Tamandua tetradactyla: one gene and its partner. The protein of the gene in region 1 interacts with the protein of each later gene in a pairwise test. Links are inferred from orthologs where the notes say so. Each region holds a gene or a part of one and is shown on either strand. Other genes may lie near its edges. The genes, in order: CEP76 and SALL2.

Region 1 (15,263 bases):
TTACATATTCAGTTAGCCAACATAAAAAAAAACTTTTATTGAAAAGTATACTAAATAATGACTTTATAAAACCAAATAAAATAATTTAGTAATACCTCAGAAAGCATGCAATAGACTGGGAATAAAAGCACAGTCCTACTTCTATCAATAACATTTGAAAGGACTGGTGGAATCATGACAAGTTACACATTTACTTACGGCACAGCAGTGCCTTCTGATCTGTAAGAGCTAAGACAATTCTTAAAAAGAACTTAAAGTATATGCCACTACAATAAAAAGCCTTCAAATCCATCAACCTTAATTCCCAAACTACCTTTATTTCTAAAAACTCCAGAAATAAACACTGGATTATCTACACAAAAAGGAAAAATCCTGAAACTTGGATATAGTGGTTTATTCCATTAACTACTTTATTAAGTTAACATTTTACTCTGTTAGAAAAAATAATTTTTAGTAGCATTATCAGCCATCTTAATAATCTGAAATTCTGAACGTTTAATTCTACCATTTTGTTAAGTTTCTAATACAAAGATTTCTATATTGGCAACTAAACTGTATAATTGCCTTTATAGAAAGACATAGGGTAAAACAATGACAGGAATTAAGTATTATATAATTTTATAGCTATAAAATAAGATAAAAAAACAAGATAGCTATAGATTTGAATCTAAATTTGTCTTTTTAAAGTTATATAACATCTTCAAACTAGCCATCCCTTGAAAATGAGATGAGATGAGATGAAATGATCTCTCTCAGGCTCCACTATATCCCCATATAGCATGGTGCCATGTACGTAATAGGCATTAAACACATATTACAAAAGAACCAACAATTAAAATAGTTAAATTAATCTGAGGAGAACATAAATTAGCAAACAAAGAACAAAAGCAGGAAGGTGAGTAAAAGTAATTTAAATAGAACAGAAAAGAGTAAAAGGGAAAAAATAAAACAAAAAGACTAGGGAGTTTCATCCATTATAAATCTCCCCTATAGCAAAAGTTATGAGTTGTTCTATAATAAAACCCAACCAGGATTTACTCAGTTTAACAACAGTTTGCATGTTTCCTTACCTAAGCTTTCCCTGTGTACTTCAAGTAAAAAGCCATCATGAAAATCTGGTTCACAGGCACATGGAACAGGTTTAGAACGAAAACGTTGGTTTCGAAAATGCAAACATAAAGTAAAGGTGGAGCAAACTTGTCCAGGTAAAGGTTCAGGTTCTTGCAGATGTTCCAAGAAAGCTTTTCCACCCAAAACCTGAAGGTAAAGATACCTCCGTGTTGGATCAATATTAGCTGTAAAGTGTAGCAATATATATGAGGAAACTGCCAAAATAACTTGAGGAATGTGATCAAGACAACAGGAATTAACTTGACAGAACTAAAACCAAAGGCAAAAATAGAGAAGGACTAACAATTTACTGTGTACCAGGATCATTTACACACTGGGAAGAAGAGATACATAATGACAGTCTTTTCTGAATTTACCTTCTGTCTACTTTCTCCCAGCTAGGAAGGGATCAGAGGCCAGGCTCAGTACCTTTACTTTTTCGCTGTTATCTAACATTTCTTCACCTCCACAAACGATCTTAGACAATTATCAAAGACAAGCAAGTGCACCTGTCAGGTGCTTATATTACCATTAAAAAATAACAATAAGGCTATACAAAATATACTATCAAAAACTAAGAAATAACTTCCAGTTTTGCTTCTACTGTGTTATACATTAAGTCTTGAGATATTTCATGCAAAACTGAATTTAAGTTTTTGGTTGATTACCACAAAATTTTAATTATTTTATTTCCTACAAATGCAACTGAAACTTTATTATCAAATATCAAACACTATAGCACATCAATATCTATTACTATCTACAACTAAATTAATACTTTAAAAAAAAAATAAACATACTTTTTTTTAACAACGTTGATTGTCTATCAGTAAAACAAGCCGGTCGTTTTGGAGAGGAAGGGAGTTCTTGATCAACACTGTCCTGGAAAGGCACAAAAAAATCAAAACAAATTAGAAAACAAAAATTATGGTTAAGGCGATGCAAATGTACTAAGAAATGATGATCATGCATCTATGTGATGATGTTAAGAATTACTGATTGCATATGTAGAATGGTATGATTTCTAAATGTTGGGTTAATTTCTTTTTTTCCGTTAATTAAAAAAAAAAAAAAAAAGAGAAGGGGTAATTGGAGCTGAAGGGATACAGACTGTACAACGGGACTGGATATAAAAACTCAGAAATGGACAGCACAATACTACCCAATTGTAATGTAATTATGTTAAAACACTGAATGAAGCTGCATGTGAGGTATAGGTTTTTTGTTTGTTTTTTTTTTTCTTTCTATTAATGTTTTAATTCTTATTCTGTTGTCTTTTTATTTCTTTTTCTAAATCGATGCAAATGTACTAAGAAATGATGAATATGCAACTATGTGATGTTATTAAGAATTACTGATTGTACATGTAGAATGGAATGATTTCTAATTGTTTTGTTAATTCTTTTTTTAATTAATAAAAAAAAAATTATGGTTAAGGAAGAAAATGCCAATGATAGGACAAAGCACTGAATCAAGAGTAGGTAAGATAAGGTACCCACCAAAAACTCCCTTGTTTTCCTAGAAAATGAAAATAATAAAATCTTAAAAGCCTCCATAAAAGATGATGCAACTGATCACTCCTAACACTAAGTAATTAAACTGTCTTCAAACAATGCCATCCCAGATATTACAGTGTCATGGTATGCTAAGCCCCAACCAACAGCATTCCTGAAAAACCCTAAAGAAAACCCAGGGCTCTATATAAGACTCTATAAAAGTTTTACCTATAAGTTTATTTTTCAGAAACTTAAAGCCTCCAGATTGTTCCTATGCCAGATAAGCCCTGAAACTCAGAGGTACCTATTTCTCCCAGAACATCAACCAGTTGCAACCCTATACCCCATAATGTCAACACCCCCTTTAAACATGAAGTTAGAATGGTCACTGACCAAATATCCCTGAAAACAGAGAGAATGATCAAATGAGAGGGAGAGGAGTTGTAACAGAAAAGTTAGAACTTAACAAATGATTATGAGCACTGAATCATTATACAGATATTTCTGTTTAGTTTCTAGTGCATTAATACAGCCAGAAGAAAATACCTAAAACTGTAAAACTGTAACCCACACTACTTTGAAATTTGCTCTATAACTACTTGTTAAACTGTTCTTTGAAATTTATCACTTTCCTGTATAAAGTGATTTTTTATTATTCCACAATAAAAAATGTTTTTTAAAAATGCTATCCACAGAAGTGCTAAAAAGTTAAACTTTCTCTAAACCACATATAACATCTGGCTTATGTTCCATCCTGAACTGATTTTAATAAGGAAGTGGCAGTCACACAGCAAAAGTTGTTATTAGGTCAATTTTTATAACAAACAGGTTTATAAACCTCAAAAACCAAAAAAGGGCACTGCATTAAAATACTTATTCCCTAGTGTATTACCAAGCCCATTTTAATTTTTTGTTATATTACCCAGGTATTGAGGTCACAGTTTCTCATTATTGCCTCATTTTCAAAAGAAGGCCTACTTACTAATCGTGCACTGAGAGGCTAACATGCCACTACTGACCTATTTGTATGAAAAGATTTGAAAGACCTTAATCAGTTATTTACTTACAGAGATTGATAATTTGTTAATCATAGAAAACATAGTTTCCCCCCAAAGCTTTTTAAAAAAATAAGTGTCAATCAAAAAAATTACAGAACAAGTTTAGTGAAAAAGGACTTCGATGGTGAACTAATTTGACTGAAACATGCATATTTAAAGTTACTGACCCTAGTGAATAATGAGGAAATTCTGACACCATGGAAAAAGGAATATGACATATAACTCCAATTTCACTAATGTTTAATAATATATGCTTTGCTCAAGGATAGTGTCAATTTATACTTAAAACAAGGATGTTATTTGCAAAACAGCTTTATTTTAAAGTGGTCTTACTAACAGCAGAGGTCCCAAATATGGACCCTATAAACAGTGGTAAGCATGAGAATACACTTACACTCTCAATTATTTACCCCAAAAGATTACTCACAGTAACAAAAGTAAGTTCTTTCATCACATCATCAATGATTCCTCGACGTCTAAGGGCTTTGATTAAATCCTCTGTTGATAACTGCTGTTGATCAGGTGCTAATTCTTCACGTATAGTCTCAGCAAGGATTTCTCTTATTCTGCCATGGACATCCATCTATGTAGAAAACTTGCATTACATTTCTTTTACTCCTAATGAGCACAGATTATCAAAGCAACCAAATGTTGCTAATGTTGATTTCTTTCTAAAATGCTAACTTACAGTAATAAAGAAAAAAAAAGGGAGGAGGAGATCAAAAGGCCACATCTGGGGAGCCTGAGCTTTAGGTGTTTCAAGCTAAGGATAAATGTAAAATTGTAACTACAATTCAATGACAATAAAAGTAAAAATTTTAAAAGGAAGAAACAAAGTAATTTTTTAAAAGATGAAACTTCCAGTATAAATTCTAGAAAAAGAGTCTATTGACTACCTGTTGTCTTTGTTACCACTTCTCCACAAACAATGCTCAACACGACGTATATTTTGAGAAAGAGTAGAGAATAATCAAAGAACAGAAGCCTGGACAGGGCAAATCAAAGTCAAAATTATAGCTTTCAGTTTATTAGACGTGTAACCCTGAGTCGATTTATTTTCCCTTTCTGAATCTGTTTCCTCATATACAAAATGGGAAAAAATGCTACCCTCTTATAAGATGGTTATGAAGTTTAAATAAAAGGTGCTAAACACTGAGTGTAAAATCTGGTACACAAATTAGTGCAAAACAAATGGTAGCTTATATTAAAATTATCTCCATGTCCAATTTTTCTTCCTTCAACTTATAATGCATTCAGTTGGGCACTCAAAGACTCAGTGTCATTCTTGAGCTCGCAGTATCCCGAATACTCTCCTTACAAACATTTTAGTCACTTCTCTTCCACGATTTCTCCGCGAAGTGGCGCTTTAAGCTACTGACTCAACTTCAACGGCATCCCCACTACCACCCTGAGAGTAATCCCAACGTCTGATCCGTGAATTTAAAAACACCTGCTCCAAACACATCCTCAACTATCTGGCTATCGGAAATCACTCGATAAGAGCTTCATTTTCACAGCCGTCCTGCAATACCAAAATCGCCTCAAACCCTCTGTAGGCTCTCGTCGGAGGGGTCCATCCCCTGCCCACCTGGGAGCCCCAGCCCCGCTCCGGCTTGTCCCCACGCCGGCCCCGAAGGCCGGCCAACGCTAACCCTGCCCGAACCCTCGCTCGGCCCTACCGGGCCGCAGCTCCCACCCCGGCCGACCCTGCCTCGCCCCGACCCGCCCCGACCCCCGCTCACGCCCGGGCCCCAACCCTTGCTCCCGTCCCCTCCGAGCCCCGACCCGGCCTGCCCTCGCCCGCGGCGTCCTCACCTTGCTCAGCTGCTGGTGGATGAGCTGCTTCAGCTCGGTGGCCTTCTCCGGGGGCAGCGACATGCTGACGGAGCCCGGGCCGCCCACCCCGCGGCCGCCAGCGGCAGGACGCGCCGAGCAGCACCGCGCTGCGCCCAACCGCCTTCAGACCCGGGCAGCGCCGGCAGAGCTGCCCGCGCCGCGCCTGACGGGACCCGCGCCGCCCAGCGCGCAGGCGCCGCCCCGGAAGGCCCCGAGCCCGGCGCCGGGGGAGACGAAGGACCCCGCCTCGCTTCCACCCGCCTGCCGGCCGGGCCCCTGGGGCGCGTCGCGTGGAGACGGCGCGCGCGTGGGTCCTTCTCTGCTCGCTCGCGCTTCCTCTCGCCGCGGCCATGTTCGTCCCCTGCGGGGAGCCGGCCCCCGACCTGGCGGGCTTCACTCTGCTGATGGTGAGTGCGCGGCCCCGCCTCGCCGGCACGGGCGGTGCGGGTTTCGGCCTCAGCCGCGGCGGAGGCGGCGGGCCCGTTGCAGTGCCGACTCCTGCTTCCGAGGGAGTCTTGGTGGTAAAACGTGCTATGTTCGGAGATCACGCAGACCCTGCACTTGGTTCGTGCGGCGCATTTTCCTTAAATTTTATCCTAGGAAATCTTCCAGCTGCTTCTAGGGTCCGCCTTGAGCCATTCACCAGAGAACGAAAGAGAGGAGTAGTCCTCTGTCGGGAAACGCCATAAATGCACGCTTGGGCCATGTTTGTACTAGCCTACAGTTTAGTGAATGGCGGTAGGTTTACAAACAATGAGAGTGAAAAAAGAATAATGGAAGTGGTAATAGTAATGAAAGTGACGTTTTTGCTCGTAGTTGACACGGTTTTATTGCTTTTGCAATTGGCTACATTCATTCGTCCTTTCAGTCAACATTCTGCCAGGTGTGAACGTTAGAATAGGACTCGGTCCCCGGCCTCGAGGAGTTTACAGTCCAGTGGAGGCCTGTTACGAAGAACTTCATAGAAAAGTAATGTCTAAAAGGCGAGGAAAGTGGGGCTTTTTTGGGGGGTGGGGTAGAAAGTAGAGCATTCCAGAAGGATGGACTTTTTAAACCAGAGGCACAAAAGCATGGGGTTCTGGGGCACGGCCCAGAGTGAGGAATGGCACTTTGAGACAGAGTAGGCTGCAGGCCTGTAAACCCAGGAGGCACCTTTGGAGAATGCAGTTTGGAGTGGTGCAAAGCTGGAGAGAGACACAACAGTCATTCTTTTATATATTAATTATCAAGCACAGAAATCCAAAGAGAAGAGTGTTTCAGGAGAGAGGGAGGGACATCTGTCAAAAATAGTCCAGACATTGTGTAAGTTGAAACAAGTGTCCTTTTGGGTTTAGCAGCGAGATTACTCATGGTAACCCTGGCAGACAGTTAGTGGAGTGGTAGAGAGGGAAGCTGTATCAGGTTGGGTTGAATATATGAAAGAAGAGGACATGGATACTTGTGTATATATGTATTTCATTGATTCTGAGATAAAGTTCTGCTTAGATTTTAGTGGCCAGTATCAGGGAATTTTGGCAATCTAGGGAGTCTGAGAATTGAGGTGGTAGTTAGAGAGGTGGGGTCAAGGGAGGGTTTTTTAGAATAAACAGTATTAGAGCATGCTTATATGCCGATGGGAAGGATCTGATAGTGGGGAAAAGAGAGATGATACAGAGAAATACAAAGAGACTACAAGCAGAGTAGCTAATTGAGAAGGGAAAAGGGTAAACAAGAAATTAGTACATGATGGCATAAGATGTGGGAGACCACTTTGAGGGAACCAGCAAAATATATGAAGTCCAGAGAAAAGCAATAACTGGATGAATGCAAAGGAGAAGCTGTAATAAAAAGTTAAATCAATAAAAATTAGTCAGATATTAGATGTAGTTGGTAATGGAAAGGGAGGAAGTTTCCTGGTTTAGGTAATTGAGTAAATAATGTTGCTATTTTGTGAACTTTAAAATGGGGGACAAGTTTTGGCAAAAGTTAGTTTTTTACTTGTTGACTGTGAGCTGCTTGTGACATAAACACATAGAGCTATCCATTAGGCTCTGGGTTTCAGGCAGGTGTCCTGATGGGAGGTTGGAATTTGGCATTTGGGTTGTTTGAAGTCAATTGGGGTAAGTCTGTGTATGTGTGAATATACACACGAAACATGCACACGTATGCATATATGTTTAATGTGAAATTCACTCCAGCTATAGGAGTGTGCAGAAAAAGGCACTAACAAAGCAAACTGAAAGAAGACTCACACACGCTTTTGTTCATACCTTACAGCTTTTACACTTTCTTTTCCATTGCCTGCATCATTCTTTTCCCAGGTTATTACATGACTCTCCTTTTCCTTCTTTAGGTCTTAGGTACTTGTCACCTGAAGTGAGTCTTTCCTCTGTCACTGTTTTTAAAATTGCAGCCATACACACACACACACACACACACACACTCATATATGATATCCTTTTTCTTGGCTTTAACCACTGTATATTTTATTATATATTTTACCAGTTTATTGTTTATTATAAGTAAACCACTTTCACTAGAATGAAAACTCCACCACAAGAGCAGGGATTTTTGTCTGATTTGTTTTACTGCTTCCCCAGTGCTTAGAGCAATAATTGACACATAGTAGGTCATCAACAAGTATTTGTTAAATGAGTGGCCTCAAACGTGGAGATGGCCCAGATGACATTTCTGTTACCCTTAAAGAAAGTGTATCAAGCGAGGCACCTGAGCATAACTATTCAGTACTAACTAGTGCTGTGATTGCCTTCTAATTTTTTTTAAATGTAACTAATTCCTACGACTTATTAATCATCGTTTATGGTTTCAGCCAGCAGTATCTGTTGGAAATGTTGGTCAGCTTGCAATAGACCTGATTATTTCCACACTGAATATGTCTAAGATTGGTTACTTCTATACTGATTGTCTTGTGCCGATGGTTGGGAACAACCCATATGCAACTGAGGAAGAAAATTCAACAGAACTCAGTACAAATACTGAAGGTAAGGCCTCAGAATGGTTTGTTGTACTACCTGGTAGAGTTGTTTTAAATTAGGATAGATTCTGTGAATACTGTTTCAAAGCAAACATTTACTTAGTGCCAGCTTTGTGCAGATTGTACAACCTAGTTGCACTGTCCTATTCTCTTACATCCTGGTTTTATTTCTTGTTCTTTTCTAAATGGCAACTCCTACAAGAGATGTAATTGTTCTTTGTATCTTTGTTTAGAATTTTAAGATTTCCTCTTTTTATTACCCTTCCATCCCAACGTGGATTTTTTTTTTCCCTTTTATCCTCAGTTTTATTTTTTGTTTTTACTGGCATGTATAATTATCACCACTGATACCTGGGAAAAGGAGAAAAGAAAAGGGTGCAGTCCTCCATGCTTAGCATGTGCTCCCTCTTCTAAGCCTCAGTCTTCTTGCTGCTTAACTATAGAATCCATAATACTATGATATAGATGATAAGACCCTGAGAGTCTGAGTTCTCTAATGCCTGGTGTAGACTTTTGACTTAGCATAAATTTCCGTAATTCTTCATTGGACAAATCAGACTTTTTTAATTAGGGAACATAATTTACATTGCACTGACTGCTGTTTGGTTATAATGTGGGAGAGAACCAAGAGAACAGAGGAAAGACACCTGTTGTTCTTGAAGACAGGAATATCCACTTTGTTGATGGCTCTGTTAGCCTCTCTATCTTCTGTTTAACATTTTAAGGTCAAAGCCAAAGGTGATGGGGCCCATGAGAGATGCCTGGTGGATTGAAGTACAAATGAAGAAATATTTTTATTTTTTTGTCAGTTTTATTAACCCTGTCATTTATTCTTAGCTTACAATGATGAAATGAACTTTTGAGAAATAATCTTAATTGAAATTCCTGCAGGAGAGATGGTTTTGTTAACATAAAACCCATGGTTTTGTTGACATAAGATTGATGATTTTGTTAACATGAAAGGCTGAATTTTAGTTATTGCCTTAGAAGGTATATGGCTAACACTCTACTACATTTCATTCTTCTGTTAATCCCAGTGAGTGTGACTGTCCTCCAAAGAGAAGACGGGGGAATATCAGTAAAGACTTAGCTGTTCTCAAAACCCAAAAAGTTTAGCATTCTTAAAGATGATTTTATTGGTCTTAATACCAGTATTTTCCAGATGAATGCTTATCTGGGTAAACTGGTGGTACTAGAAGTCCTATACTTTGCACTAATGACAACAATCATTTATTGAGCATTTACTATGAGCTGGACACAACTTCACTTTACATGTGTTAATTCCCTTAATCCTCATGCCAACTCCAAAAGATAGTCTTATAGATGAGGAAACCATGGTTCAGAGAAGTTGAGTAATTTGTTCAGTCACATAATTAATAATTGGTGGAGCTGGGATTTTAATCAAGGCAGTCTGGCTCCAGAGACCTGCCTCTTAAGCACCACATCATTCTGCTAGCGCACCTTTGCTCTACTTAAAGGTCCACTTACTCTCCTCTGACACAGACTGGCCCATTGTCTTACAGGCTCTCCCACCTTCTGCATTTACCTGATTACTTCCTTCTGGTGTCATTTGGCTTGTGGGTCTAGCCCCTGTATTTTCTAAAACTGAAAGTTTGATCTTGAGGATTGATTAGGTTTAAGTTAAATATTTTTTATTAGAACACATAAAAGTAATGTTGCTTTCATACTGTATCACATCAGAAGAAAGTATCAAGGTCTTAGCAACAAAAATAGTTGCATGATATAGAATTGAAGGGTATGGGTATTGCTCTTATAAAAAATGGTATATCTGCATTTTAAAACTTAGTTTGGGGTGGGCCACAGTGGCTCAGCGGGCAAAGTTCTTGCCTGACATTCCGGAGCCCCAGGTTTGATTCCTGGTGCCTGCCCATGTCAAAAAAAAGCTTAGCCTGGCCACCCAGAGATACTTTCCCCACCTAGATCTATATCGATTAGAGGAGTGCCCTATGCCTGTTCCTTTCCCTGCCTTTCCCTGTACTACCTCCCATTCTAGCCTCTTTAGCTCTGAACATAATGGTGCTCACTGGACTTGCTGAGTACAGCTTAACCCCCAACCATTCCACACCACACAAGCCACAAGGAGACAGTCCCACAAAAGATCTTAAACCAAGAGAAACATGACCTACCAAAGGATTTGCTCCAGTCTAGTGCTATTTGTAATTGCTTTATAGTAGCAAAAAGCATACCCATTAGCACAGTGGCCTAAACACTTAGAGACCTATTTTTGTTGTTGGTTCATATCAGAGCTTCTCACTCTTGGAGGTGAAATTGTGCAGGGTAGCCTGAAGCATCCCTAAAGTGGACTTCTTAAAGAATCTGATGAAAGTTATAGGTCCTTTTCCCAGATGAAATGCGCACACATTAACTCACAGAACATTTTGCACATTATTTCAAGTCTTTCAAGAACTGAAGAACATTTATTATACGGCTAACATGCTCCTACATTTCATTCTTCTTTTAATCCCAGTGAGTGTGGCTGTCCTCCAAAGAGAAGACAGAAGGATATCAGAAAAGACCTAGATGTCCTCAAAAACCAAAAAGTTTAGCATATTAGAGATGATTTTATTGGTCTTAATACCAATATTTTCCAGATGAATGCTTCTCTAGTTTTACAGGTAAAGTCTGAAGAAAAATACTTTTTGATATTTTGTATCAAAATTTATTTATAATAAATTTTGCGAGGCAGCATCAGGAGCCTCTGATTGGGTTTTGGGGTTTGATACTGGAGCCAATCAGCATGGGCAGCAAACCAGGGGAGCGAGGCACGGACTGCACCTTGCAGTCTTCTAGGATCTCCAGAGCAAAGCTCACTGTGGAAGATATTCTGACTTGGAGAGATCATGGAGCAGTATATAGCAAACAGCAATAGTTCCACAGAACAGATTGTTGTGTAGGCTAGACAGATTCAGCAGCAGCTCCAAGGGTAGCCGTTAATGGTGCAAGTCAGTGAATGCCAATTAATCATATCATCCGGCCAACCCATCATGGTCCAGGCTGTCCCTGGTGGACAAGATCAAACCATCATGCAAGTACCTGTATCTGGGACACAGGGTTTACAGCAGATACAATTGGTCCCACCCAGACAGATCCAGATCCAATGTGGACAGGCTGTGCAGGTGCAGGGTCAGCAGGGCCAGACCCAGCCACAGACTGCTGGCCAGAAGCAACAAGAGGTAAAGGCTTGCAACTTCAATTTGCCAGACATTACTGTAATTATAATACTGAACCACTTACTAAAAACTGAATGGTTTCTGTCCTATAGAAAGGGGCAGAGTGCGATCATGAGTATCCCCCTGAAAGAGAAGATCAATTTCCTGGTACAGTGGAAAATAGTACCAGAAAGGGCAGACCATTTTCTGTCAGCCAGTTAATGCAGATGGCACCATTCTCCAGCAAGTTATAGTCCCTGTTTCGGTTCATGATTGCCATCCCAGCTGCCAGCTTGGCAGGAGCACAGATTGTTCAGACAGAAGCCAACACCAACACAACCAGCAGTGGACAAGGGACTGTCTCTGTGACACTACTGGTAGCAGGCAATATGGGCAATTCAGGAGGGATGGTCATGATGGTGCCTGGGGTCGGTGTGTGCTGGCTATACAAAGAATCCCCCTACCTAGCTGAGACGCTCGAAGAAGAGCCTCCCTATGTTAATGCCAGACAGTACCACCATATTCTTAAGAGAAGGCAAGCCCAGGCTAAACTAGAGGCAGAAGGGAAAATTCCAAAGGAAAGAAGGAAATACCTGCCCGAGTCTCAGCACCATGACGCTGTGGCTCAGAAGCGCGGTGAAGGTGAACGATTTTTCTCCAAAGGAGCAGGATAGTCCCCATCAGGATCCAAACCAAGCAGACAAAGAAGCCATAATAGATCACCCTAGTGCCCTAACCCCAGGCCACATACTGGAGCTGATCAAGGTCATGTTGCTTGCCACTATTTCCCACTGTTCTAGGAAATTGATTGTCTCTTCCAGTGGGACACTCACGATCACATTCTGCCCTTTTCCACAGGACAGAAACCCCTTAGTTTTGAATAAGTGGTTCAGTATTATAATTACACTAATGTCTGGCAAATTACAGTTGCAAGCCTTTATCTGACCTGTTCAATCGGGACCTATTTCAGACTGTAGATGACATTGACATTTTATAGATTAGGCTGATGCATGGGACCCATACCAGCCCAGCAGAACTACATACCTCTTATGTTGATTGATGAAGCCACCGTCCATTTCAGCAGGGGACAGCAACCTTCTCATCCTCAGTTGCAATCGGAGAAGCCACAGCCCCCAATTTGCACAGGAATTTGATTAGACAGCATCTGTCCCTCTGGTGGGGGATCTCAATCTGACTTACTGAATGGACCCTTTGTATTTAGAAATGGCTTCCAGGCAAGGAAGTTCCATCTTGTGATGTGGAAACAATAAACTCACTGAGATACATTGATCTAATCTGTGGTAGTAATATTGATCTAATCTATGGTAGTAATAAAAATCTCGGTCTGCCCAGAGAGTACCTTGGTATTTTGGACTAAGGCCAAGAAAAAGCTAAAGGCTGGAGATAGAATGATAAAAGACTCAAGCACTAAAAAGATAATGCTGAATCTCTTTTAGCTTTGGCAAATTTTGGTCTGCTTGTCCTATTGAAAGGTCATCTGGTCCTTAGTTTTTGCTGTGGCTACTTTTAAGACAAGATGATATTGGACATTGAAGCTGCCTTTCGTAAGTAGAGAACAAAACTGAGGACATTAAAGTTTTATGTCCTCAGTTTTGAGGACATTTGTAGTAACTCCTAAACAGAAAACAAAACTAGAGATTTTCAGTCATAGACTCTGTGATAGCATACGGGAAATAGAGGTTTTGTATGTGTTTCAGCCTAGGAGAAGGAGAGCAAGAGGGTCATGTATACACCCGTGTGTTGTCACATAATATGGTTCTGCAGTGGATGCCTGGGATGAATCGTTAAGGTGAAGAGAATAATTTAGCATTTACACTAAAACGTTTAATAAATATGGAAAGGGAAATTCTGAGATTTGGTTCTTGACAGTTTGCAGAGATCACTATTCAGTCAAGCTGTCCTGGCCATACTCCACATTACCTGCTAACATTTGTAGTAGATTTGGCTTCACTCCTACAGTGCTTCGTGCTGGCCTCAGAGAACAAACATTCTCATTCTTACAATGACAGCTGATTCTTTGGTGCCAGTTTCCATTTATTTTCCCTTTTTCTCCATAGCCTTGTGCAGAAAGATTTTTACACTGGCTTCTGCAATGGTGGGATAAACTGCAGACTGTAAATAGAAATGCCTGCAGGGTCAGGTGCTGAACCACAGTTCTAAGAATGATTGTGCCTCAGAAATATATTTCCGTTTTAATTGTTGAACCCTGGGAGAACTAAGATACTTCAGAAGAGTTGCTGCCTTCTCTGAAATAAAGAAGGAAAGTATACTCTATTCTGAAGAAACTTGGGGTTAATTTAAAATGCCAAGAGTAAAGACTGGCTTTTTCTTCCTTGACATCATTCTAAGTATATTAAGAGGGAAAAGAAATTAAAAACTCTTAAAAAAAATGGAATTGTAGAAATAGAGGTACAGAGCCATGTAAATTAAGTAGGAAATGAAGTATCTTCCTAGTCAGTAGAATCTGGTAGTCTGTCCTGGCTTCCAGTTATCAGGAGGAAACTTACTGTTCTCTACCTGAGTTTCAGATAGTTTTAGTCAGTAAGCCTCAGGTTTTTTGGATAATAGATTACTAAAAACAATAAGGAATTTTACCCCTTGGTTAGTTTATGAGTCTTTAGATGGAGAGTTCAAAAAGAATTTCTCAGACCTAACTAGTGCTTAAGCCACAGACAGTTCTAAAATGCTATTTATTTGTGTCTGTGAGTTGGTACATAGTAATACCAACCTCATATTGTTGCTGAAATTTTGGGTTGTGTTTGTGTGTGTGTTTGAGTTTTATTTGTTTGGAATGAAATGCTTCAGTTGTCATTTTGTCATTGCATTTCAGCTAGCTGATGACCCTTTTATTGTGGTCATCTTAGCATACCTTAAGGGCCCACAAAGTGGAAGGTTTGAAGTTTGGGTTATTTGAGTTGTTTTCATTTGTTATTAAAAGTTCTTTTACTCCTTGTGACTGTAGTAGTGATTTGACAGATGCAGAAAGAGTGAACAGATGAATGAATAGCTGGTTTACTACATAGTAATTCATTTCTTGAGGATTTTTTGTTTTGTTTTGTTTTGTTTTGCAGGATAATTGTAAATGTATATGTTTTTAATTGCACTGGTATATTGAAATGTTAGTGTCTGTACCACTGGACCAACAGCATTTTCTGGCTACTGAATGCCTAATAATAATGTCTTGATTTTCCTTTGGGTCTCAACTATATTGAAGGTTTTCCCTCAGCAGTAGGGGAGGTGTATAGGTAATCATTAATGTCATTACAATTGTTATTTTTTAGAATAAATTTATAAAAATACTAAAATTTTTTTAAAAATTTAGTTCTAATTAATGGTAATTTATTCCATAGAATAAAGCCTGCTGTTACATTTTAAGGTACTTCTAAATGTTTTATTTTAACAAAATGATATAGCGAGTATCTTCTGTATTTGAATTTTTAAAAATATTTAAAGGCAAAAGTTCTTATAATTCAGTTCTAATTTTCAACTTGTATAACTCCATTTTTTTCCTGTTGCATGGTTTCACTTTCTTCTTGTTATTGTAGTTTATTCATTGCCTTCAGAGAAGCTAGCGGCTCTTCAATTAAGATCCATTTTT
Region 2 (15,359 bases), on another chromosome or scaffold:
ACAAAGAAAAAAATGCATGCTTCATTTCACTTCCAGATGTGCTTCCTCTGCACTCCTAATGCTAAGAATCCTCCTTTATCTTGTTGGTAGAAATTATTAGGGTTGAATTATTTTTTGTCCTTTCTGTTTACATCAGATCTCAAGAATCATGGAGATTAATTCACTTTGTTTCTACAAATAACTGATGTCAGCTAGGCTGGCCTAGGGGGCAAAGAAAGACTGATAAAGATGCAGTTTCCAATCTCCAAATACAATGCAATGCAGAAGTGCAGAGGAAGATTCTCATTGTACTGGCAAAGAGAAAAACCTAGACAATGACTTGTCACAGTGGGCAAACTCCTGCCCTCTGAAGAGCACAAACTCTGGTTCTGTAGAGAAATTACATATACTGGAGGGTTTTTTAGGGCAGGCTGAATAAATTAAATACTGTAACAACATATGTTCAGCTTTGGCAGGAGATGTAGGTGGGAAGGGAATCTCAATGTTAAGGAATGCCCATATCACATCACAGCTGGCTATTTAGTCATAAAAAAAAAAGGAGAAACACAAAGATACTTGGTCAAAACACCTTTAATGATGGAAGGAAAGACACTAATATCTCCCTTGTCTGTTCTTCACATTTTACTATGTTAGGAAGCTCTGGAGCCTATACCTTTGGAGAAGTCATCATTTCAGTCAGTCAGTTGCAGAACTCTCATTCTCTTCTCCTCAGAACTCCTGTTCCAAATGATTCTATATTAAGAGTAAATACTACATCTCATTCAAGGTGGAGAAGTAGGGAGGCCACCACCTAGAGCTACTCTCCCAAAATCTGGGACTCGAAGAACCAGACAGTGGGTAAGACATAAGCTCTGGTCTATGGACAGGCAAAATGGGGAGGAGGAAAGGGGCCTTGAGAGGAAGATAGGAAAACGCTAGGGACCAGAGAATAAAGGACAGATTTATCTAAAACTAGAAACACATTAGTGCTAGGAAATCTCCCATGATCCGTGGTATGCTGCTGCATACTATGTCATTATTGGCCCAAAAGAACACTCATGAGATCCATCCAATCAGAACCGGAGATCCCCTCCCTTATATCATGTCTCTTTTTGAATCACATAAGTTCCCAGCAGGCCCTATGCTTTAGCAACACTCCTCAACTCTCCATCATTACTCCATCAACCACTTTCATCGGTAACACCCATTCAAGTTATGAACTAACTTCACATTTCCCAAATTATTCTATGGAAAACCTCTTGGCAAGAAATCTGCTTGATTCCTAATTCTGAGAATCCATGATGACGGAATATGAGAAGCTGGAGACATCCTGGCATATCAACCACCAACATCTTTGCCTTAATGTGACTATCAAGGGGTTTACTGAGAAGAGTGTCCTATGCCCTTCATATCTCCCTACCCCCCAGGGTTGAGTCACCAATTACAGCAGCTTCTTTGTTTACCTTCTGGAGTAGGGGGAGGGAGAAGGAACATACAGTTTGCTACTTGTCTTTTATGATGGGGTTCTCAAGAACTGCCTTGGGTACAGGAGGCTGAAATAGGAGGAGGGGGGCTGTCGTCTCCTTGGCCTCTCTGGATCCCGTTGCTGGAGGCACCTTCCCAGCCACAGTTCCTGGGCCAAACAGCACTGGTGGTGACGGGCCTGGAGCCATATTGGAGGAGGAGCTGGAAATCCGGGGCTTGGTGGGCAGGCCACTTGACAGGAAAGCCGTGTACTGGTTCCAGAAAGATAGGGGACCCACCCCCACCAGCTGGGCAGGAATATCCTGGGACAAGAAGTCCTGCAGGTTGACCTGGTCACCAGAGAGGAGTGGCACTGGGCCCTCCAGGGACAGCTGCCGGCCCCTTCGGGCTGGGCTACAATTCCAAACGTGGGTGCTCAGTTGCACCTGCCAAAGGGAAAGGGAGAGGAAAAAAGGAGAGGGGAGAAAGGGTCACCCTAGGGAAGCTGGAGAAGGTTCCCCATGGGAATGTGGGAGCTTGCAGAGAATCTGTGTTCCTCAGGTACAAAGAATGAGGAGGGAGAAAAAAATTCCTAAGGGGACCATCCCCCTGAGCCCAATGATCTCCAAGCTCAGGGACTAGAGAAAAGTCATTAGGGACATTACCATGTAAGAACTCAGAGAAAAGGACAGATAAGGGCTCATAAAATCTGCAGCTCTGTTTCTGCTCCCTGGTCAAAGGCAGCAGGTACAGAGAAATGGGCTCATGGGATTGTGGGGTCATCTTTCCGGGAAAAGGGGGAGAGCCCTGGGGAAGTGATGGAGGGCGAACAGCCTGGGACCAAGGAAAGAGAAGCAATATTCTGAGGGCCATGGGGGGCAAAGGGCTGTACCTGGTGGTGAGCCAGCAGCATATGCTTCTTGAGAGGAGCCCGCTCGAGAAAGCCCTGCTTGCAGAAAATACAAGTGAAGATTGGCCCCTCCTTGGGGTGGGTCTTCTGATGTTCCTCCAAGGCTGCCTCGGTGGGAAAGACCTGGCTACATACCTCACAGGCCTTTCTGCTGCTGCTCTCTGCTGGCTCCTTTCTCATCACTTCCTGCATGCCCATCCCCTCCACCATGGTGATACTGGTGCCTTCCCCATCTCGGGTGAGTGCTGACATTGGGCTTGAGCTACTCTCTGGTTTGCCCCCCTCTTCTGAGCCTCCAGTGACATCGTTGCCTCCCTGCTCCAATGGCTGTGGTTGATCCAGGCTGTCAGGTGGTGGTGGTGGTGGTAGTGGTAGAACTGACTGTTGAATGACTTTCTCACTACAGTCCATCTCCTTTCCAGTCGTGGCTGCTGCCGCCACTGCCCCCACTTCCTCTTCTGCTCCAGATGCCTCTTCTGAATCACCTCGCACTGATATTGCTTTCTCACCCCCACTTTCTGAGCCTCTCCCCACCAGGGAATCTTCATCTGTCACATCTTCCTCTTCCTCCTCCTCTTCCTCCTCTTCTTCAGACAACTCATCTTCCAGGGATTGCTGCTGGGGAAAGCTCCCTGTCCCAGAGATTGTGGATTGCTCAGAGCCATTCTCCTGGGCAACTCCCCCACCTTCAGGGAGTGTGGTACCACCGTTGGGGATCTGTCCCCCCAAGTGCATCCGAACATGCTGCTGCAGAGTAACAGCATTGGTGAACTTCTTCTGGCAAATGGGGCAGGAGTTCTGGGCTCGGGCAGCTGGACTGGCCTTGTGGCCCACAAAATGTGCACGTAGATTACCACGGGTGGAAAAGGCTCTGCCACACACTTTGCATTTGAAGGGCCGCTCACCTCCATGTTGGCCATAATGCAGGCGTAGTGCCCTAGGACAGCTCAGTACCCGGAGGCAGATGACACACTGATTAGGTCCAGATGAGGCAGAGGATGAAGCTGCAGGGGCAGAGGTGGTGGGGGCTCCTGAGGCAGTAGAGGCCACTGCCACAGCTCCTTGACGGTCAATCTTTTCTACCAGCTGCTGCAGCTTCGATGTCTCAGAGGGTGAGGCCCCCAAAGGCTCCAACACATAGGGAAAAGGAAAGCTACCAGTAGACTTGAAGTGGTTGGTAAGCAGTGCCCAGCTGGGTAGTGAAGTCACCAACTTACTTAGCTGCATGCGGGTTGCAGTACCACTTTCTGCCACCCCCGTGATGGCTGAGCCCTCGTTCCCTGGAGGGGTATTTTCATCAGCTTTACTCTTGGGCTCCACGGCTTTCATGAGCACAAATTTATTGAAAGCAGGGAGCCCAGGGGCTGTGGCTGTGCCTGCACTGGTGGAAAGCAGCGTCAGGCTTTCTGTAGCACTGAGTGCTGTAGTAGAGGCCACCAGAGGCTTGCGTTCAACACCTACACCTGGCGTGGCCTCCTCTTCAGCCTTCTCTGGTGGCACAGACATACCATAGGGCAGACCACTGCTGGTAATGACATAGTCTAGGTGCTCTGGAACTGGGTGTGGGTTCATCTGCACATGCGGATACTTCTCACGGTGTCGGTGGAAGTGTACTTTGAGGTTGCCACGTGTGGTAAAGCGGTTGCCACAGACATTGCACTTGTAGGGCCTCTCGCCAGTGTGGGAACGCAGGTGAATCTGCAGGGCGCTGTCACTGCCAAACACTTTGGCGCAGAAGCGGCATTTGTGCCGCCCACCAGGCTTCTCCAAGGGACCCATTACCTCCCCATAGCCCAGTTCACCACTTCCGTTCTTTGGCTTCAGGAGTCCTGGGGAGGCAGCAGCCTCAAGGCCTCGGGCTGCCCCAAGGCACTGGGCTGCCAGTAGTCCAGTGGTGCTTGGGAATGCCAGGTGAGGTGAGGCAATCACTTGATCTGTGCTGCCTGGCAAGGCTGGGGAGGGGGCAGGGGTGGGCTTGTGGCTTCGCCCAACCCCTCCAGCAGAGAAAGGATGCTGTGTCCCCAGTGGGTGATAGAGGTGGAAGAAAGCCTGCTTGGGTGTTTCTGCTCCTGAGGAAGAGGAGGAGGATGAAGATGCCAGTGTCTTGCCAGTTTGGACAGGCTTGATGGGGCTAAAGAGGGGTAGCAGGGGCTTGGTGGAAGAGGCAGTCCCTGTACCAGGCAGCTCTGAGGGACTGGCAGGGGCCCCCACCGTCTGGCCTAAGGAGCCGAGCAGCAGCACCTGGCGGCAGATTTGCTCAGTCATCTGCATCTGATGGATCTGCCGCTGCTGCAGCACCCTTAGCTCTTCCAGGATCAGAGGAATGTTCAAGTGGCCACCGCCTACACCTGGGGGTGGAGGAGGAGGGGGTGGAGGAGGGGGAGGTGCAGGGGTGGACTCTGGAGCTAATGGGGTTGCTCCAAGCTTGGGACTGGCTAAGATTAGGCCCCCACCTCCCCCAGCCGCTGTACCTGTGGCAGCGACCAGGAAGTGCCCGGCAGACTCCTCTCCTCTCCCCTCTGGGGCCCAGTTGGGATCCGAGGGCATGGAAGACCCAGAATCCGGAGGGTTGCTATGTTCTGTGTCCATGATCTGAGGACTACTGTGACCTTCAGGCCGGGGTTCAGAGGAGGGAGAAGAGTTGTTGGGGTTCTCTTGGCCCCCAGTTATCACCATTACAGGAGGGTCGGTAGAGCATGCGTCTTGATGAGCGAGGAATTCGGCTGGGTCAGTGAACTGTGCGCAGCACTTGGCACAGACTTGGAGAAGGTCCTCCTCGTTAGCATCACCTGGGGGGAGACAAGGAGGGAGAGCGTGGCTGCTACGGGTGGGGACGGATTGACAGAGGCTCCAATTAACGAGCCCAGTAACTGCTGGTTGGGGGTGGGGAGATGAGCTCACCATCAGGCCACGCAGAAGGCTAGAGCTCAGTCCTGACCCGCTTCCACACGCGGGGATGGGGGTGGGGCAGGGCGCGCGCAAGCAACACCCTCCCCGCACAGCCCGCCGCCCTCCCCCATCATGGACCGCCCGCGAGTGCAAGGGATGAGTGTGAGGGCGGACACCAACGCAGTGAATCGTGTATTTTATCCTCTCCACGGAAAGTCTTTCGCCCCCGCGCGCCCCCTTCCCTCCACACCCCTGCCCAGGCCGGGCCCTACCGCACCTCCGAGCTCCGTCGGCTTCCCGCAGGGCCCTGCAAGGCGAGAGCTCCTCCCGGCTTCTTGCGCCATGGTTGTGGGGGAGGGGGAGGGCAGGGTGGGGTGGGAGACAATAGGGATGGGGATTGGGTGAGGCGGCGATAGCCGCCGGGGCAGCTGCAGCCTCTGCGCTCAGCGGCGGAGACTGCGGCGATGGAGCTCGGCGGCGGGGGCAGGGAGCAGCGGAGGAGGGGGAGGGGAGTTTGGAGACGCGGAGGAGGGGAGGAGCTGGAGCGAGAAAGCTGGGAGAGGGGATTTCGCGGGGAGGAGCCGCTGGGAAGGGGAGTTTGTGGGGACCAGTGCTGGGGAGATGGGCGGGAGCGAAGAGTAGCTGGAGGGCGGGACCCATAAACCGAGGAGGGTTTCCGGAGGCTCAATGACAGGTGCTCTGGCTCCCTGTGGGGGGCCACCTTTCCTTGCTCTCTGCCAATTCCCCCCATCCCCAGATGTCCTTGCCCAAACCTGCCCCGGGCAAGCTTAAGGGAAGCACAGTGGGAGCACAGCCCTGCTCAATAGAGCAAGTCCATAGGATTCTCTTATTTTTCTTAGGAAAAAGATCCTCGGACTCCAGAGGACTCCATAGAGGGTAGTCTGAACTCCTCAGAGGCCTGAGGGACAGAGGGGAAGGCGGACCCGAAACATCCACCCCTTCAACACAGCCCCAAATACTCTAAGTTTTGTCCCATCTTCCTCACTTCCATTTCCACCCTCAGCCCATTTCGCCCACCCTCGAAAATAAGTTTCTGAGGGCTGGAGGCTGCAAAGTAGAATTTCCAAGGACGTCACTTCAGGACTCCTTGTCGCTGAACATTAAGCCCCTTAGCTCCCGGCCCCTCCTCCCCCAGAATAATAGCTGAATGCAAGTTACTCCACAGATCAATCACACAACACCTAATTTATGGAATTCCTGCTTACTTAAGAAGCCGTCTCCTATTTAGTACCCTCTTCTCTACCCTCACCCCCTCCATTCTCCTTCTCCTACAATACACGCACACTGTCACTATTAAGGAGACAGCTGGTTTTGGGAAGATGCTAGCCTTCAGAGGCCTACGGAAACTCTCTCGGCTCTATCCTGCGGGGAGGGGAAAGGGCGGAGCTCCTCCGGCAACAATTGTGATTTGAATGGGCATAATAAACACACTGTTCCAATCCCAGTTCTCTTCTTGCCCTAATGGTAAATCAAAGCATGGCCGTCAGTCACACCAGACATGCCTCTGGTTTCCTTTTTGTAAAGTGGTAATACTGTAGCTCTTCTACCTTCCTCAGAGAAATACTGTGGGAACAGAAATTGGAATTTTTTTGATGCATAAAACTAATACATGTATATGGGACTTTAAAAAAAACTGGAGGAGCCATGAAAATTATGTTAGAGAATTTGCATCGTTAATAACAAAATAGATAGTAAGTCAGCTTGAAATACATATATACTAAAATTAGATCTGTTTAACGTTGCATATTAATTTCTGAGGTAAGATATTGGTGAGTATCATTGACATTTGTCAAGGACAGGGAGGTTTTTTGGGGGGGGAGGGGAGCTGAAACAACCTAATTAAAATATTTGTAACATCCATTTCATTTTTCAACATAACTTTTACCTATCTTTTTTACTTGAAGACATTTTACTGAATTATGTTTTGAAATCTCAGATAATCATGAGGATTTTAAGATTATGAAATGCAGCTCTGAAACGAATGGGGTCCTGTGCTTCTAGACCTGACCCTTTTAATAAGGGAGAGGCAGGTCTGTTTCAGTTATGGGGAGTTACAGGATAGTACAATGAGGTTTATTTTTACAGGTAAGGAAATCGAAGCTTGGAGAGGTTAAGTGACTTTTCCAAGTTCACACAGTAATTCAGAGAAGCAAGCATTCAGGTTTTTGACTCCTGTCCAGTACTTTCTCAAGCACCTCAACATTGTGTAACTTCCCTAAGGCTAGAGAAAGGGCCTTGTGTGGCTCCTACGTGTCATTTGCTCTCTGGCCTCGGTATGGGAGAGGGAATCAGAGGGAAGCTTTCTACTGAGCATTTGTTAATTAGCATTGAACATTTGATATCAAGTTGCTGTTTTGTCAAGTCTTCCGACAAGAAAAGAAATCCTTTTCTTTTCATCTTCTCCTGGGAAACACTGTCCCCTTTCTTGCTCTTTAATGAAACTTGCTTTCAGATGTGTAATTTGATCTGCTCTCTTCTTTAAGGTAAATTTAGTCCCTGGTGAAAGGTGACGGATCATCAGCCACCTGTAAGAGGAACCCTCTATTTCTCAGCACTTTGCACTCACTGCCTATCCTGAAAAGGGGGGCAGGATTCTTAGGCAGACATGAATGAAGTCACAAACACAGGAATCAACTTAGCTGGTAATGGTGTCCCTAGATAGCAGATAAGGTGAGGTAAGCTATCCTGGGTCACATGCAAAGTCTGGGATGGATATAGGTCTAAGACCCGGACGTGCTTGTTTAAGTTTACAAAGAGCTGAAAATGCCAAGGAAAAAGGAAACCAGCTGGCTTCCCCCTTTGAGCCTGATTCCCTATCACACTGCAGCTTTAGGTTTAGGAGAGAATGCTTAGGAAAAACAAAGAGAAAAATAGGTGGGTAGTGTGCAGTGGGGTGGTATGTTTGAACAGTAGTTCTCAAACTGTGGTACACATCAGAATTACCAGGAGAGCTTTAAAAAATCGCAATGTCCAGGCCATACTCCAGACTAATTAATTCACTATCTCTGAGGGTGAGGTCCAAGTATTAGCATGTTTTTAACTCTTTCCACATGATTCCAACGTACAGCCAAGGTTGGTTGAGAACCGCTATAGGAGGATTGTCTTTTCCATCAAAACTTCCACTCTTCTTCTCAAATCTTCCTGGGCTAAACCTGGGCAAAACTCGAACACACAGAAAGTTGCCAAGTGCTAAATCTTCCAGTAGGATCCCTCTCTACTCTGCCCACAGCTACGCTTTAGCTTTCCTCTACCCTTATCTATGAAAAACCTGCCTCTTTGGACTGACTTTATTCCTGACTGTGAATTTAAGTGACTGTATTGCTTTTCTTAGAGTATGTGCATCTTGAGCCATATTCTGTTTGTCAAATGGAAGACTTTGTTCTCAATAGAGTTCTAGCAACAGGCAGCCATTAAGGAAACAGAACACAATGCAAAAGCGCAACAGTTAACATTGCACCTACACTAATTGATAGCTCCCATAATTATGACTTAATTCTGTAGCTGCTGTTATAGACGACTTCTAAAGGAGAATGCCCTATCTTTCTCTTTGTCCCTTTTCTCTCCTAAACACACACACATATTTTGCCACCCACACCTGCCATGCATCTATGGCCTGTGCTGCAGAGTAGACAAAAAGGCACAAGGATTTGTAGACCTGTTGCTAAGTGAGAAAAATATATCTATTTCTAGAACAGGAACGTCTTAGGCCAAACATACAAAAAGGATCTTTTTATGGGCATTTTTCTGGCATTAAAGGACTCAGCACTTAACCTGGAACTAGAACACTTTGGAGATCTCATTGAGCACAGTGGTTGAGAGCCCCAACTCTGAATCAAAGACATCGGAGTTAAAATCCCAGCTCTAGTTGTTCCTAATGTGTGACCTTGAGAAAGTTTTTTAATCTAATACTTGGTTTTCTCTTCTTTAAAATGGGTATAAAAATAGGGGAGTTGGGGGTGGTGTGACAGTGGCTCAGTGGCAGAGTTCTCGCCTGCCATGCCTGAGATCCAGGTTCAATTCCTGGTGCCTGCCCTTGCAAAAAAAAGGGGGTGGGGGGTGGGGAGAGGGGTGGTTTGGGAGGAATAAATGAAAGGAATTGCGTCAAGAGCCTGCATAGTACCTGAGAAATAGTAAATGCTCCATAAATATTAGCTATGAGTATTATGGTTTAAAGGCCAAAAGCTAAAGGCCTAGGAAGAAAAGGGAATCGCCCAAGGTCAAATAACTTCAAGACCCGAGCTGGATGGAAAACCAGCTTTTCTGCTTCCTTACCCAATGTACTATTGTACCATTCCTGGATTACTTTCTATCTACTCTGAAATGTGTTTTTCTGACTCAGGTGTGCCAGGGCTGAGCAGCCCAGGGTTCAATAGCCCAAGAGATGAGGCTTTCTGCTTCTAGATGTGAAGAAAACAGAACCCTCAAAACTCTATTTTTTTCTTCTCTCCTCTTTGGCTGCTCTTGTTGCCTCCCAGCTACCATCTAAAACAGTCCCCTCTTTCCCTCTAGACCTGTCTGGCTGTTGTCCTGGTTTCTCCTTCTCACTAAATATCTGGGTTTCTGATGGTTTCCTTTATTTCCCAGATGTACTAGTTAGCATTTTCCCAGTTACATCCCTTATGTTCTCTAATTCAGATTTCTATACTCTGAAGGGGAGAGGGAGAGTTTTTTTCTCTCCAGAGTAAATAGACTATTTCCTGCTTATTGCTTATGTGTAATAACTATTCAGTTAGGTTTTAGCATTCTGGACAGGGAATCTGAGCAAAAACAGGGCTTTTAAACAGGTTCTTCAGATTGTCTCTTGGTGATGTCCTAGATTGCCGCAGAAATGAGGCTTTAAAAATGTCAAACATTTTTAAACAAAGGCTCAGCATTTGCTTGTCCGCGTGTGGTAAACATTGTTTAAAATAAGGCAAAAGACTCCTGGAAACATTAGTGGCACGCTAGACTACTAAATAAATGTTTGCTGATGATCATGATGATGCTTATAATTTCACTGATACACCAAAGGACACAGTGTTCCCCAAATAAGAGTCTTTCCTAATTTTGAGGCATGTAGAAAATGTCTCTGGGGCAGAAGGGTAAGGCAGGAGTCTGAAGATGGCATAAGTGAATAGAAACCCTGTTTATGCATAGACAGGGAAAGAGAGATTTATATATCTTAAGTTTATAAGAACAGGGAGGAATTTTGATTATGATCAAATACAGGTCATGTTAGTAGCCCAAGATCTTTTACTCTCAAGGAAATGTTGATGAGAAAACCCTTTGAATTTCTTAAGGTATATCTTAAGAGATGGGCTTTCTTTTAAACTTTTTTTATTAATTAAAAAAAATTAACAAACAAAACATTTAGATATCATTCCATTCTACATATACAATCAGTAATTCTTAATAAAGAGATGGGCTTTCTTGCTCCTCACATTTATGGTTCTGATTTTCCTGACTCAAAGGCTAAATTTCAACTGAAATTTGTTGCTGCCTTTGGTTCAAGCCTACACTGGGGGTGGCTATCCTGCCCCGAAGTGTTCACCGCCCCAAGATCTTGAGAGATATAACTCAAAGGGTTTGAGAATCCATTCAAGGCAGTGGTTAAAGATTCCTGTTGACACTCTCACAGAAAGATTTTTTTCCTCAGCTGTGGTATAAAGAGTGGATGAGCAGGCAAGGGAGAAGTGGGAAGGAGAGGGGAGGATGCCTACTGGGGTTCAGAATTGTTCCACAATTGAACCAGCAGGGGATAAGGATTGTGAGGCAACTCTGAGGCTCTAGGGGAAGTTTCCTATAAGGGCACTAGGAGGAAGCATCCGGTCTGTAGCAGCATTAAGGAGGGATAATGTGTCCCCCGAGGGGAGGATGCTACCACCACCTCTAAATATGGGCACAGTGGGATCCCAGCAAAGCAGTGACTTGGGGAGGATGTGTTCTACCCAAAACACAATCTGCCTAAGGTTGTTCCATCATCCATGCAGCCCTGATTTGACTTTCAAGTCTTTTTATAAAAACAGGTGGAAAAGGCAAGTTTAATCCATGAAAGAGTGTCCATCACTACAAATGACTGACTGTATCCTAGAGTTTTTTCATAGCACACATCTCATAAAGAAATGCTGAAGTTCACCTAGCACTTCTTGAGCTTTCATCAAATTTCAGCATTTGCAGAAAGTGCCACTGTACTAACGTAATAATAATACCCACATATGCTAAGTACTTATTTATGCTAGGTATTTTTCTGAGTACTTTACATGTGTTAACTTGTTACATTTCTCACAACAAACTAATGAGGTAGCTAGTATACTCATCCCTATTTTTTAGGTGAGGAAACTGAGGCAAGCAGTGAAGCCGGAATTTAAACCATGGCAGTTTGGCTTCAGAACTTCGGCTCTTAACCTTACACTAGATTGTTGGGTGCGCAACTGCTTGCTAAATACATAGTTGATCCCTGGGCCAGGTCTTCCAGACTATCATGGATGTGCACATATGTACCCACACTTCTAACCAGAGAGTCCAAAACTTGCTTGACCCTAAAATTACCTGCATCCTTGCAAAAGATACAGATTCCTAGACCTATCCCAGATCTACTTACCATCAAGTGAGTTTAAGAAACCCTGATTTAGTGGAGTAAGCACCACTGACACAGATCTTCAGGAAACCTAAGTTTTTGTCCTGACTGCTGCTGTCTCTGAGTTGATAGACAACGTCCCTTTTGAATATCTCAGTTGCTCTGTTGTCTGCCCAGCTTTCATTTGCATGTTATAAGAATATGTGAAAAAAAAAATTCCTCATAAAGAAAGTCCGTTGCTTAAACAACAAATGATAATATCCTCAAAAAAAATGATACACCTGGCTTCATGGGTCTGTTAACCCACACATTGCTTTTAGTTTGGCTTCCCTTGGAGCACACAACTAAGCCCCTCATCCAGAGCCTGACAAGCTCTTCCAGTATCTACCCCAGGTGACACAGATATACACACCCCAAACCAGGTTGCATTCTGACCGACATTAGCTCTCCCCTCTGGGAGCTCTGATCTGCTCTCAACTCAGCCCAACAATGAGAAACTTTTTTTCTTTTCTCCCTCAAGGGAACCTTCACGTTTCTCCAATTCATTCTCTTGCAACCCAACTCTCCAAAAAGAAAAGGGGGGAAAATCCCACTCCTAAGAGCCAGTCTTCAGGTCTGAGGACGTTACTTAGCAACGGCACAAAGACCAGTGAGCAAAGGGGGACCTGGGGAGAAAACTCTTGAGCAGGGAGACAGAGCCAGTTTGAAAACTCCATTTCATCCAGTGAAAAACAACAAGGAAAACACAAACATAATCAATCCTGAGAAAAGCCAAGCAGTGCTTCTCCCCAGGCCAGGTCCTCTCCTTACTCCCTGCATCTCAACTCTTTCAAAGGCCCAATGACCAAGACCTCCCCATACTGCTTTCACCCATGGCCTGGGCGCCCTCCCCTTGCCCTGCTCTGACCCACACAGGCTTGGGCTCAGCTCTCCTCCCCCCCCCTTTTATACCCACCCCCCGTCCCTTCCCCTCCCTGCTCCCCCCCTGCCCCAGGCACCCACCGTTCTCAGAGGCGCTGGGACCTTCACAGTCCGAGATTAACTGTTGGGGTTTCCTTTGCTTTCGCCGAGACATTCCCGGGCTGAGAGATGGGAAAGGGAGGGGCAGTGCTCACTTAGTCTTAACTGGGGTGACCTGGTCCAGTCTCCCCCTTAGGTCTAAAGCCAATTGATGCCTCTTCCCCAGTGCAAATCACTGTGAAGAGATATTCTCCCTTCTCAGAGACAGACTCTCTGACTCTGTCCCTGACTCTCTCTCTCTCTCTCTTTCTCTCTCAATCTCTGCAAGTCTTTAAAGGGGAGACGCCCCCTTTTTTTTCTTCAGCTTCTTCCCTACGCTTCTGCAGCTCCCATTGTAAAAGCAAAAATCCTAATCTTTCCGCACACTCTTTTCTTTTGTACTGCAGAGGAAAGGATTTAACCCTCTCCTCTCTGTGAGGGCTCAGGGTTTCTCCCTGTGCTGTCTGCTCAGAGACCTTCGCCTAGCCTGATTTTTGAACTCTTCTTCCAAGATCTTCGCAGTGCTTTTTAGTTCTTTTGTGATTCTGTGCTCTTCTATTTTGATAATGTGACTGCTTCTGGGGTACAAACTGAAATATGAACTTTCTAGTATATCCTTCTTATGAGGCCAAGAAGTCATTCCCTCCAGTTGAAAATGGGAATATGAAAGCTTGGCAAAAAGACTGAGTAAAGGCGGACAGTAATTATAATAATAACTTAATTTGGGTATAACTCTTTGCGATTTATAGATATTTTCACGTATATGACATATTTTGAGTATTGTACCCCTGAGATGAGCATGGCAGGTTTTGCTATTCCCATTTATAGATGAGCCAAAAGCCTCAGTGAGGTTAAGTAACCTATCCAAGATTGCACAGCTGGGAGACACCTGGGCCCCAGGTGTGTCTGAGAATAGTCTAGCATTCTTTTCTCTATATTGCTCGAGGCACAATGTGCGACTGGGTTACTAGAATGATGTTAAGGAATCTCATTTAAAGTAGGGTCAGTGGATTTCATGTCTCTTTCACTCCTGTTCAGCTCTCAAGGTTGGAGAAATGCCTCTAAAAAGATGAAATAGATGAGTTCTGTGGCACTCCAAGGTGGAAGCTACGAAAAGACATTTTCAGCTCAATATAAAAGAACTTTCTAATACTATGTTTCTAGTGATTTTGTGAGTTCTCTGTAATATGTTCACACTGAGGTTGAGAACCATTGTCAAGGATTCTATGTAAAGGATTTCCCTGTGGATAAGAAATTGGGCCTTTGATAATTTTTCTATCTCTAAAATAAATCATCTGACAATTAACCAGGTCTCTACTGCTCAGCTTGCACTCTTGAGGGTGATTCGCTTATCATTCTTTAACTTCTGACTATGCTGTTCCTATCTAAATTTGAGTAATACTGTGATACTGGGCATAGAATATTCTAGATATATCCTATCTTCTAGCTATAGTGCCTGGGTCCCTTCTTTCAACCCTATTTACTTTTTAATCTTCAGGCTGAGATGAAAGAGCATTTGAAACACCCTCAGTTGGGAAAGTGGAAATTATTTTTTCTCACCTTTGGAGTTCGGGCATGTAAATCTTTTAGATGACTGTGTCTTCAGAGAAAGGCAAAAGAAACTCTATTCACCGGACTGGGTAGAATGGCAAGATTCCCTCCATTTCTTCCCTTACTAAGCCCAGACTAGTTTGGCAATACGAAGAAAGGGAGAGGGAGACAACAGATGGTAGGGGGGTTACTGGTGATAAATGAGGCAGGTACACACATTTGAAGAGTTTTGAGAAGTGCTCTGATCTCTGCTTTGGAGTTCACTGAATCTCCATTCCTAATCCTTTGGGGTCAAGACCCTTGGTGACTCCCTTCCATTCCTTCCTTGGAACTCTTGTTGCTGACATTATTTCATCCATCCTAGTAACTTCCCTATGGCAAACAGGTGCAGTTATTACTAGGTGATTGTAGGAGAAATGAGAACTTTGAGGCCAGGAAAGCTTATAAATCTCAGTGGAATAGACTGGGTACTGTCACTGTCCCATTACACCGTTTACATCATTTCCTTGCCTTTGTGAGGAAAAGAAAGGAGAGAAGGAACATTGCTTTCTTCTTTTTTCTGGAGTCTATGAAATCTAAGGGCAGATTTGAAGGTCCACATTTGTTTCTTCCCTGGGTCTTGGCTGTCTTCATCCTTTCTTATTTTTTTTCCTCCATCCTTACTGCCCTTATTGTGAAAGGAAAGGCTTTCCCCTCCTCTCCTTTTTTCTGCCCTCTCTGGTTTACCATTTTTTTTTCCTTTTACCTCTCCTCTGTGGCCTCTTGACCTCCCCACAGAGTTACAAAAGTAAAATCCTTGAAGAGATGCTGCTGTGGGAATGTTAATGAGCCTTCCTCACAAAGGGGCAAAGACTTTACTTCACTGAGTTGGAAAAAAGCCCCTTTGAAAAGGGGTTTCTGTGTGTGGTGAAGTAGAGAGGGGAGGGGAAAGAGAGAGGGAGGGAGAGGGGGAAAAGAAGGGAGGGAGAGAGGGAAAAAGAATGGAAGGGG

The links.
Region 2: the proteins of CEP76 (region 1) and SALL2 interact in binary tests that used the Homo sapiens proteins (3 or more experiments, as listed by UniProt). The two-hybrid records come from large-scale screens. The link is inferred for Tamandua tetradactyla from reciprocal best matches to the Homo sapiens genes CEP76 and SALL2.

Annotation. Positions count from the first base shown.
Region 1 is NC_135344.1:76,583,232-76,598,494, forward strand, and holds the start of CEP76 (centrosomal protein of 76 kDa), read right to left. Parts: upstream 5,607-15,263; 5' UTR 5,543-5,606; coding exon 5,480-5,542; intron 5,242-5,479; exon of another isoform or gene 5,115-5,241; intron 4,793-5,114; exon of another isoform or gene 4,561-4,792; intron 4,248-4,560; coding exon 4,092-4,247; intron 1,993-4,091; coding exon 1,911-1,992; intron 1,296-1,910; coding exon 1,071-1,295; intron 1-1,070. Other genes in the region: PSMG2 (proteasome assembly chaperone 2), read left to right, coding at 5,851-5,907, 8,310-8,481, 15,211-15,263. UniProt on the Homo sapiens protein: Centrosomal protein involved in regulation of centriole duplication. Required to limit centriole duplication to once per cell cycle by preventing centriole reduplication.
Region 2 is NC_135340.1:34,910,697-34,926,055, reverse strand, and holds SALL2 (sal-like protein 2), read right to left. Parts: upstream 5,684-15,359; 5' UTR 5,587-5,683; coding exon 5,520-5,586; intron 5,143-5,519; coding exon 2,336-5,142; intron 1,890-2,335; coding exon 1,482-1,889; 3' UTR 413-1,481; downstream 1-412. UniProt on the Homo sapiens protein: Probable transcription factor that plays a role in eye development before, during, and after optic fissure closure.